Macaca fascicularis: one gene and its partners. The protein of the gene in region 1 purifies or fractionates together with the protein of each later gene. This does not show direct contact. Links are inferred from orthologs where the notes say so. Each region holds a gene or a part of one and is shown in the gene's direction. Other genes may lie near its edges.

Region 1 (3,648 bases):
AGGAGGTGGTCTGGGGTCGTGGATGGAGGATTCTCTGAGCTCTGTGTGTGAAGAAATCTTCAGGGAAAGGCTGACGTCCTGTTGTCGAACAGCACCTAGTAGGAGGAGGGCTTGCGCTAAGAGAACATACAAGCAGGACTTTGTTGACAAGCTGCAGCGATGGCTGCAGAAAAACGGTTCACCTGGATGCCCATCTTGGGTGGCGTAGGTGTGCTGTCCGACGAACTGTAGAATGTGCACTGCCCGTAGCTTCCTGCCTGACTCCAGCATCACATATGTGTGCTTTCAGTGAAGAAGAGGAACGCTTTTGAAACCCTTTTTTTTTTTTTTTTTTTTGATACAATGTTGTTCTGTCACCCAGGCTGGAATGCAGTGGCACAATCATGGCTCACTGCAGCCTTTCCCTCTGAGGCTCAAATGTTCCTCCTGCCTCAGCCTCCCAAGTAGCTGGGATTACAGGCATGAGTCACTGCACCCAGCTGTTTCACTTTTTTTGTTTGTTTGTTTTGTCTGTTTTTTTTTTTTTTTTTTTTTTTTTTTTTTTTTTAAGGCAGAGTCTCGCTCTGTCGCCCAGGCTGGAGTGCAGTGGCGCGATCTCGGCTCACTGCAAGCTCCGCCTCCCAGGTTCACGCCATTCTCCTGCCTCAGCCTTCTGAGTAGCTGGGACTACAGGCGCCCGCCACCGTGCCCGGCTAATTTTTTGTATTTTTAGTAGAGACAGGGTTTCATTGTGGTCTCGATCTCCTGACCTTTGTGATCTGCCCACCTCGGCCTCCCAAAGTGCTGGGATTACAGGCTTGAGCCACCGTGTCCGGCCTTTGTTTGTTTTTTTGAGATGGAGTTTCGCTCTTGTCGCCCAGGCTGGAGTGCAGTGGCACCATCTTGGCTCACGCGTTCTCCTGCCTCAGCCTCCCTAGTAGCTGGGATTGCAGGTACCCGCCACCGCACTCAGCTAATATTTTACATTTTTAATAGAGATGGGGTTTCGCTATGTTGGTCAGGCTGGTCTCGAATGCCTGACCTCAGGTGATCTACCTGCCTAAGCTTCCTAAAGTGCTGGGATTACAGACATGAGCCACCACACCCGGCTTTTTTTTTGTTTTTTTTTTGTTTTTTGAGACAGGATCTCACTCTGTCACCCAGGTGGGAGTACAGTGGCACCATCTTGGCTCACTGCAACCTCTGCCTCCTGGGCTCAAGCAATCCTTCTGCCCCAGCCTTCTCCCGAGTAGCTGGGACTACAGGCATTTGCCACCATGCCCAGCCAATTTTTGTATGTTTTGTGGAGATGGGGTTTCACCATGTGGCCCGGGCTTGACTTTTGTTTTTAACTTAATCTCATAAATCTAGATTGGGCCTTGCTTTAGCAGTTAATGAGAAAATATGAGGTGCTTTAGTTGACCTCAGAGCTAATTTGAGTCATGAAGGTAATTTATTAGCTAAACATGTTAGCATGAACTCTGGGCTGCTTTGATATGGAAGTGCTGTTTGGGGTAAAGGAGGCTGTGGTCTCCCCACAATCTGTGTTGCAGAGGGGCATAATTACAAATGAAGCAAAAGGATAGCACATATTTATGAACCCAGTTGGAAGCAGCATTTTGTTGCATAATTTCAATGATTCCCTGTAAAGGTATGTAATATTAAATTTCAGGCATGGTGCGGTGGCTCCCAGCACTTTTGGAGGGCAAGGTGGGCAGATCACCTGAGGTCAGGAGTTTGAGACCAGCCTGGCCAACATGGTGAAACCCTGTCTCTACTAAAAACACAAAAATTAGCCGGGGGTTGTGGTGCATGCTTGTAATCCCAGCTACTCGGGAGGCTGAGTCAGGAGAATCGCTTGAACCGGGGAGGCAGAGGTTGCAGTGAGCAGAGATCACACCACTGCACTCCAACCTGGGCAACAGAGCAAGACTCTATCTCAAAAAAATACATACATACATACATAAAATAAATTTCAGGCATCAATTAAGACCTCATATTCTAGAGCCAGACCATGCTGGGTTTAAATCCTTGGTCTGCTCATATTCACTGCAAGCCTCTGAAAGACTGTCACAACCTCTGTAGGCCTCAGTTTCCTCCTCTGTAAGGTGGTGAGAGTAATACCACCACATAGGCTATGAGGACATGGTGAGAATTCACTGATCCAGCACATTGATATTGAAATGCTACTGGGTGCTGTTGCAGACACAACGCCTTATACATAGGACAGTGCATGAAAAATTAGCCTTAGCCATTGGTATTAATATCACTGTTACTGGCTGGGTGCATGCGGTGGTTCATGCCTGTAATCCCAACACTTTGGGAGGCCAAGACGGGTGGATCACTTCAGGTCAGGAGTTCAAGACCAGCCTGGCCAAATATGGTGAAACTTGGTCTCTGCTAAAAATACAAAAATTAACCGGGCATGGTGGCACGTGCTTATAATCCCACCTACTCAGGAGGCTGAGGCAGGAGAATCACCTGAATGCAGGAGATGGAGGTTGCAGTGAGCAGAGATCACACCACTGCACTCTAGCCTGGGCAACAGAGCGAGACTCTGTCTCCAAAAACAAAAAAAAATCACTATTCACTATTGCTGTCTTGCTTGCGTCTTGATGTCACAGATGATCATGGTTATTAGTGATCATTTTTTTGTCTGTCCCTGCAGGAACCTAGTGCTGAAGACAATAAAAAGGGTCCATTGACAATTGCACAGAAAAAAGCCCAGAACATCATGGAGTCCTTTGAAAATCCATTTAGAATGGTGAGTCGTAGTTTTGTGTACTCAGGGCTGACAGGATATATAGAGATGCCTACAGCTGTACATGCTTTCACCTGGGAAGGAAGCCTCTGAAGCCAGTGTGTCAGCTGCCCTGGTGTCCAGGCAAAGACGCTGACATGGCACCAGCAGCCCCCCATCTGAGCACCTCTGCGCTGTGGGCCTAGATTCCGTTCCCAGCAACGTTTCACACAGCCGTTTCCTTCCTCCAGTTTCTGCCCTCACTAGGACACCGTGCCGTCTCTCAGGCAGCGAAGTTCGATCCATCAACAAAAATCTATGAAGTAAGTGGACTTGTCACCTGTTCTAAAAGAGACTTTTTTGTTGTTATTTGTTTTTTTTTTTGTTTTTTGAGACGGAGTTTCATTTTGTCACCCAGGCTGGAGTGCAGTGGCACGATCTCGGCTCACTGCAGCCTCCACCTCACAGGTTCAAGCAATTCTTCTGCCTCAGCCTCCCGAGTAGCTGGGATTACAGGCACCTGCCATCATGCCCGGCTAATTTTTGTAGAGATGGGGTGTCACCATGTTGACCAGGCTGGTCTCGAACTCCTGACCTCAGGTGATCCACCCGCCTCGGCCTCCCAAAGTGCTGGGACTACAGGCGTGAGCCACTGCGCCTGGCCCTAAAAGAGACTTTCTAAGAAAAGGGGATTTCCTAATTATTCAGACCAGGTTTCTGTTGTAGACAAGTCCATCTCATCTGTGAATCCCCTGACAATGAAGGCAAAAGCCCTTTATTTTCTAGCGTTGTTTCTAGGGAAAGGGTCCAGAACTTCAGTGAGATTCTTAAAAGCACTGGGAAACCTTGTAAGAAACAAATCTTCACTTGCGGTTTTTTAATTGAGGTTTAATCTATATGTAGTAAAGTACACAAATATTAAGTATACA
Region 2 (3,648 bases), on another chromosome or scaffold:
AGCCTGTGCTTTAGGCTTTTGTTAATGATGTTAACTTTTAGCCCAGGGAGTGGAAGAGGTGTTGTTCACATCAAGATATTAATGACAGGCCGAGTGTGGTGGCTCATGCCTGTAATCCCAGCGCTTTGGAAGGCCAAGGAGGGAGGATTGCTTGAGCCTAAGAGTTCAAGACCAGCCTGGGCAACATAGCAAGACCCCCTCTCTACAAAAAAATAAAAATAAAAAATTAGCCGGGCATGGCGGCACATGCCTAGCTACTCAGGAGGCTGGGGCCGGAGGGTTGCTTGAGCCCAGGAGCTCAAGGCTACAGTGAGCTCTGATCACACCACTGCATTCCAGCCTGGGTGACAGTGCACGACTCTGTCTCTATTATATGTTATTTAAAATTTTTTTTTTTTTTTTAAGACAGAGTCTTGCTCTGTTGTCCAGACTGGAGTGCAGTGGCGTGATCTCAGCTCACTGCAACTTCCGCCTCCCGGATTCAAGCAATTCTGCTTTAGCCTCCCGAGTAGCTGGGATTACAGGTGTGTGCCATGCCCTGGTAATTTTTGTATTTTTAGTAGGGACGGGGTTTCACCATATTGGCCAGGCTGGTCTTGAACTCCTGACCTCAGGTGATCTGCCCACCTTGACCTCCCAAAGTGCTGGGATTATAGGCATGAGCCACCATGCCTGGCCTTTAATTTAATTTAATTTAATTTATTTTTTTGAGACGGAGTTTCGCTCTTGTTGCCCAGGCTGGAGTGCAATGGTGCGATCTTGGCTCACCACAACCTCTGCCTCCTGGGTTCGAGCGATTCTCCTGCCTCGGCCTCCTGAGTAGCTGGGATTACAGGCACCTGCCACTACGCCCAGCTAATTTTGTATTTTTAGTAGAGACGGGGTTTCTCCATGTTGGTCAGGCTGGTCTAGAACTCCCGACCTCAGGTGATCCACCCGCCTCAGCCTCCCAAAGTGCTGGGATTACAGGCATGAGCCACCGCGCCTGGCCTTCTGTCTCTATTTTTTTAAAAAAGATATTCATGACAACCAAGGGGAGAAGTGAGGTCCCAGTGATGTCCTCTGGGTCTGTCTAAGATTGTTGAGCCTGGACCATTGGAGAGGGGAGGAAAAGATGGAGGTGTGGGGTCAAGGGGCAGAGGCTGCAGAGGACAGGACAGTGTGTGGCCGAGGCTACTGTTTGTTCCTTCATCACCCTGGCCAGGCTGAGGTCCAGGCAGTGTTCTCTGATGGAGCTGTCTCTCTGCACACGAGGAGCCTGAAATATGGAAAAGTAAGTTGGGCTCTTGATGTTCCTGTTTGCTGACTGAGATTGCAAGGCTATTTCTTAATCCCTATAGCTCTCTGGAATTCTGGCCTAAAGAACCCCAGTAGCTAAGCATTAATAGAGGTTGGCATCCCACAAACTGATCGTGTTCCTTAAACATAACATGAGGGTTCACAGGTCAGGGTTCACAGGGTCATGGGTCAGTAGCTTTGTAAAGAACAAGTTTTATCCTTTTTCTCCAGGGAGACTGACTCTTTGGACAGAGGAGCCCGTCCAACTGTGGGCTGGGAGGTGCAGCTGTCTCTCTCCCTCCAGGGGGCGCTGCAGCTCAGCACTGGGGCCGGGGCTGAGGCGGTCCTGGGAACAAAGGGAGGCTGGGCCTGGAGAAACAACCCTTGGACAAGCGTCCAGTCAGTCCAGTGGATGTTATTGCTGGCAAAGCTTGCTCTGTCATCTGAGCCTCTAAATGGAATTTCACTGCTTTTCTTGTACGAGGTTGCATTATTGAAGCTATTTATTATTTTAAGGAGAGCATACTTCCTAAAACAAATTAGGATTTACTAGTCTCTCAGCTTTATCTGGGTGAACACTTTTATTTTCTGAGTGGAACAAAACCTCTTCCCTTAATGGAGTGGCTGCAGCCAGCCACGTTCAAGTACATGGAGTAGGCAGAGGACTGCTGCAGTATGCTGACTTTCGCAACCCTGGGTCCTGTGGACTCGCCCTTGGCAGGACATGCACTTGAGCTGGCCTGCCAGGACCAGACATGGATTTGCACCCAGCTCCACCCAGCTCCTTACCTACCCAGAGGCACACATCTCACAGGCAAGATGAGTGTTTGGGGTTCAGGTATGAGCTAGGGTCCTGGAACAACACAGTGCTACTGGACCAGCAGGAGGCTTCAGCTCCCTCATTGGCTTCAACTTCTCTAATGTCTGGCACCTGAGTTCTGGCTTAGAGTGCAAGGGAGACTGTAAAGGGAAATGACAGAGAAGAGCATTGAAAGTCACCTTCTGCTGGGATGTATGAATAGCCTCTGAGTCCCCAAGTGTTCTCTGCAAAAATGTGTACTATGGGTGTGCGTATAGGCGACAGCAATTGTAAACAGGAAGGACACCAATTTGAATATACTTAGGATGTGTATTCTGTAGTCTCCTTTTCATTCATCCCACTGATGATCCTGTAGTGACCTAGCTTTGTGATGTATTTCTTTAGCTAGGTCAGGGGGTTTTGGTCCAGGTTTCCCCCTCCCTGGTGAAACGGCAGAAGACCCACTTCCATGATTTGCCATGTGGTGCCTCAGTGATTCTCGGTAACAACGGCTTCATCTGGATTTACCCAACACCTGAGCACAAAGAAGAGGAAGCAGGGGGCTTCATTGCAAACCTGGAGGTGAGCAAACACTGTGGCCACTGTCGGTGGGAAGGATGGGACTCAGTCTTTGCTGTGTTTTTGTGGCCAGTGAAATTGGTGGTTTTTAGCTCTATTACTGCTGTAGGCTGAGTCACTTTGACTTTCCATCAAGGTGTATTCATGAACCCCATATTATCTTCTCTCTTCTAAGGAGATGAACTCAGTGAATGGTTCGATGTTTGTTGGTGGCGATGGCAAAGTTGCAGGGTAACGCCGAAGAGCCACTGAAGAAGCCATTCTTTTTTCTGTTTGTTTGTTTGTTTGTTTTGTTTTGAGACAGAGTCTCACTCTGTAGCCCAGGCTGGAGTGCAGTGGCGCCATCTCGGCTCACTGCAAGCTCCGCCTCCCGAGTATAAGAGATTCTCCTGCCTCAGCCTCCCGAGTAGCTGGGATTACAGGCGTGCCCCACCATGCTCTGCTAATTTTTGTATTTTTAGTAAAGATGGGGTTTTACCATGTTGGTCAGGCTGGTCTCGAATTTCTGACCTTGTGATCCACCCGCCTCGGCCTCCCGAAGTGCTGGGATTACAGGCATGAGACACTGCGCCCTGCCCCATTCCTTTTAATCTCCCTTGGAGTTAGCTGTTTGGTTGGTTTGGAGTTCCAGGGTGATATTTTCTGATTCATAAGTAATTTATTTGTGATTTTCTGTGGCTGGTCACGTATTTTGGTCCTGTTTATATTTCCCTTCCCTTCTCCTCTGTGTCTCCTTATAGCCTGTCTCTCTTGCTGATCGAGAGGTGATATCCCGGCTTCGGAACTGTGTCATCTCGCTGGTAACTCAGAGGATGATGCTGTATGATACCAGCATCCTCTACTGCTATGAAGCATCCCTTCCACATCAGGTACTCTCCTCAGGACCTCTCACTTCTTCATTGATCTGTGAGCTGCTCTGTTGTTTGCGCAGAGACAATGTGCGTGTCTCCCAATACTTTCCAGACATCCATCAGTATGAACTGGCCTGAAAC
Region 3 (3,689 bases), on another chromosome or scaffold:
CTGGGCGTGATGGCGCGCGCCTGTAGTCCCAGCTGCGCGGGAGGCTGAGGCAGGAGAATCGCTTGATGCCAGGAGGCGGAGGTTGCAGTGCGCAGAGATCGCGCCACTGCACTCCAGCCTGGCCAAAGAGCGAGACTCCTTTTCAAAAACAAAACAAAACAAAAACCGGGAAAAGGTTTTATTTCTCAATGACAGCCGCGAGGTGAAACTGCGATGGACTGGAAGTCAAAAATCGCGGGTTCCAGTTTGGGCTCTATCTTGAAGATTTTGGACAAGTCAAACCCGGTCTCTGAATCTGAGGTTCCACATCTGTGAAACAGACGAGTTGGGTCGCTTGACCTCCTTCCTTCCTGCTCTGAACGTAACGGTTGCTCGCAAGGTGCGCTCCGGCTGAGGAGGGCGCAGCCCCGCAGGGCAGGGCGAGGAGAGAGCAGGAACCCGGACTCAAGACAAGGCCCCAGGGCATTGCCCGACCCAGAAAAAGGGACTAGGATGGGGAGCAAGGGCCGAGGCTTCGCCCTTACCTGCCGCCTGCCGACTCCCCAGTCAGCCAAACCGAGCCCCGCAGCCTCTGCCGCCGCTCACTGCCACCGCCTCCGACTCGGCGCCCCGGCCGGGCCCGGCTCAATCCAAACCACCATGGCCCGCCGCCTGCAGTGCCACCCAGCGGACCCGGACCTGCCGCCAGCCCATCCTCAACCACACGCGCAGGCGCAAGCATGGAGCGCTGAAGTTCCGCCCCCGGATTTGTCCCGGGGTAACCTGGGAAATGGAGTTTACACGCAAGGATAAAGAACACCAATTGACGCGTATCTTACTGCGGAACTGTGCCTGGGTTTGGCCAATGAGAAATCGATTTCGTTTTCATCCGGGTTTTGGGACAGCGGCAATCATGGCACCACCTGTGAGATACTGTATTCCCGGTAAGTGAGCGCTTCCCGTACAGAGTCCTGGATAGGGGCCGAAGCAAGAAGCCTGGACGGCCTGCAGTTTCTGGGGGCCCATGACCGATGCAGCATTTTTTCTGCAGGCGAACGTCTGTGTAACTTGGAGGAGGGCAGCCCGGGCAGCGGCACCTACACCCGCCACGGCTACATCTTTTCGTCGCTTGCCGGCTGCCTGATGAAGAGCAGCGAGAACGGCGCGGTAAAGGAAGCGGCATGCCGTCTCCTCTCTCTCTGTTTTTCCCTTAGGCTGCCCTTGAGTTCCAGTCCTTAGGCATGGGCACTGCGGACGCGTCTTTAGAGCCTTAGTGGTACAATGTTGGTCTCTTAGTTTCTTCTAGCCGTATCGCCGCTGTTGTGCACTTAGCCACCACACACTAGTTGTGTTGATCTCGCTTGGTTGTGCTGCTGACCCTCGGGGAGGGAGGTTGGGACAAAAGCAGATGCGAACTCAGTAACCCAGCCCAGCTCAGCCCAGCAGTGCGTTGTATACTGTATGAATGTTGCTTACCTCTCCGGCTTTATCTAGTGCCACTATCTCCACCTCACTGACGCAATCTAATCATACAGTCTTTTCTATTTGTAAAAGTTATAATCACAGTTTTGGCTTGCCCTTTTAAAAAAATTTGTAACACACTAGCTTCTTTCAGTGTCGGTAATGTGCCAAGCTTTCTCCTGCTACAGAGCCTTTGTAACATGCCATCTATCTGGAACGCTTCTGTCTTCTTAGGCCTGTTTAATTCCTACCTCCGTTAGTTTCTGTATTATCACCTCAGAGAAGCCCTTCTGGACCCACTAATTGAGGAAAGGAGTTTTGTGGGATGTTTTGTTTTTGTTTGTTTTGTTAAAGACTTACAAAAAACTCTGTCCCTTTTCTTCCAAGCACTTATGTCAGCATATGATTAGACACTCAGGTATGTTTCCCACTAGACTTCTCCCTTGCTTAAATCTAAGTTCCACGAAGTGCAGGTGCTACCACCATACCATCAGTATCTAGCACAAAGCAGCTCCTCAATAAATGTTTGTTGAATGCGTAATACCTACCTTTCTAGTTTTAGAGATTGATCCAGGATTAGCTCAGGATCATATAAGCAATATTTGAAGGAGCACAGTAGAAAGAGGATTCAGAATTAGAACCGTTAGGTTCTGGCTAACTTGACCTCGATTCTGCTTTGAGTAAGTAACTTAAGCCGTCTGACTCAAGGGGCTTTCTATTCAGTCATTGTTGGGAATGTCCTTAACAGTCCTGAGTTTGTTCATTTGATAGATACCACTTGAGTATTTTCATGTGTCAGGCACAGCGCTGACTTGGTTTCTGCTATCAAAGGACACAGACACAAATTGTAAACAAATAAATGCTCAAATAAGCATATGGTTACACATGTGGTGGCTGCTTTGAAAGAATATTACAGGGCACCTTAAGAACATGTAACAGGCAAATCCATCCTAGTCAGCAGAAGTGACATTGAAGCTGAATCATCTAAAGAGTAGGTTAGAGTCAGGTGGGTGGAGAGAGTGCAATTCTGGCAAAAAGAATAGGTTGAAGAGAGATCTGAAAGTGGGAAGAATTTAGTAAGTTGGGGAAACTGAAAGAAGGCCAGGAGAGCTGAAGCATTGTAAGCAACGGAGAGATTGTTAAAAGATGAGGCTCAAAATATCTGTCTCATACTAACAGCCAATACCATGCTCAAAGAGAAAACTCTGCAAGTATTCACTTAAAACAAGTGTAGCTACTATTTGTAACATTTCTGTGGAAATTTCAGCCTGTGCAGTAAAATAAGAAACAGAAAGAAGCAGTATAACTTTGGAGGAAAGAATAAAATTGTCAGCCAGATGTAGTGGCTCACGCCTGTAATCCCAGCACTTTGGGAAGCCAAGGTGGGTTGATCACCTGAGGTCAGGTGTTCGAGACCAGTCTGACCAACATGGTGAAACCCCATCTCTACTAAAAATACAAAAAATTACCCGAGCATGGTGGCAGGCGTCTGTAATCCCAACTACTCGGGAGGCTGAGGCAGGAGAATCACTTGAACCCAGGAGGTGGAGGTTGCAGTGAACCGAGATGGCGCCATTGCACTCCACTCTGGGCAACAAGAGTGAAACTCCATCTCAAAAAAAAAACCAAAAAAAGTAAAATTGTCAATGATTATAGGCAATATAGTTGTATACCAAGAAATTCTGAGAGAATCACCAGAAAACTTATTGGAAGTTTAGGGATTTACTACAAAAAAAATTAGCCGGGCGTGGTGGCAGGTGCCTGTAGTCTCAGCTACTTGGGAGGCTGAGGCTGGAGAATGGCATGAACCCGGGAGGTGGAGCTTGCAGTGAGCCGAGAATATGCCACTGCACTCCAGCCTGGGCAACAGAGCAAGACTCCATCTCCAACGACAACAACAAAAAAAGAAGTTTAGAGGTTTACATCTTCTAGCAGCATTCTGTAGCCCCCTGGTCCTCCTATTTCCTAAAATTTCTAAGGCCTTCTGCTCTGGCCTATAAATGAATGCATACTCCAGCTCTCACCTGTGTACCAAGACATTCCTATATTACTCTCAAGACACAAATGCTTTGACCCAAGAGTTAGCCAGGACATTTCAGTTTTTTCTTTTTCCCTCCGTAGCTTCCTGTGGTGTCTGTAGTAAGAGAAACAGAGTCCCAGTTACTGCCAGATGTCGGAGCTATTGTAACCTGTAAGGTAAGTTTGTCCTAACTTCCATGCTTAGAATGCCCATTCAGTGCTGAAATCAT

The links.
Region 2: the proteins of EXOSC10 (region 1) and EXOSC2 fractionate together in Homo sapiens (co-fractionation; 9 studies listed by BioGRID and IntAct, with this or other methods). This does not show direct contact. The link is inferred for Macaca fascicularis from reciprocal best matches to the Homo sapiens genes EXOSC10 and EXOSC2.
Region 3: the proteins of EXOSC10 (region 1) and EXOSC1 purify together in Homo sapiens (co-immunoprecipitation; 8 studies listed by BioGRID and IntAct, counting the BioPlex papers as one, with this or other methods). This does not show direct contact. The link is inferred for Macaca fascicularis from reciprocal best matches to the Homo sapiens genes EXOSC10 and EXOSC1.

Annotation. Positions count from the first base shown.
Region 1 is NC_088375.1:223,724,525-223,728,172, forward strand, and holds part of EXOSC10 (exosome complex component 10), read left to right. Parts: intron 1-2,647; coding exon 2,648-2,743; intron 2,744-2,970; coding exon 2,971-3,042; intron 3,043-3,648. UniProt on the Homo sapiens protein: Catalytic component of the RNA exosome complex which has 3'->5' exoribonuclease activity and participates in a multitude of cellular RNA processing and degradation events.
Region 2 is NC_088389.1:13,178,354-13,182,001, reverse strand, and holds part of EXOSC2 (exosome complex component RRP4), read left to right. Parts: intron 1-1,204; coding exon 1,205-1,273; intron 1,274-2,482; coding exon 2,483-2,659; intron 2,660-3,396; coding exon 3,397-3,525; intron 3,526-3,648. UniProt on the Homo sapiens protein: Non-catalytic component of the RNA exosome complex which has 3'->5' exoribonuclease activity and participates in a multitude of cellular RNA processing and degradation events.
Region 3 is NC_088383.1:106,397,415-106,401,103, reverse strand, and holds the start of EXOSC1 (exosome complex component CSL4), read left to right. Parts: upstream 1-870; 5' UTR 871-892; coding exon 893-923; intron 924-1,030; coding exon 1,031-1,146; intron 1,147-3,561; coding exon 3,562-3,636; intron 3,637-3,689. UniProt on the Homo sapiens protein: Non-catalytic component of the RNA exosome complex which has 3'->5' exoribonuclease activity and participates in a multitude of cellular RNA processing and degradation events.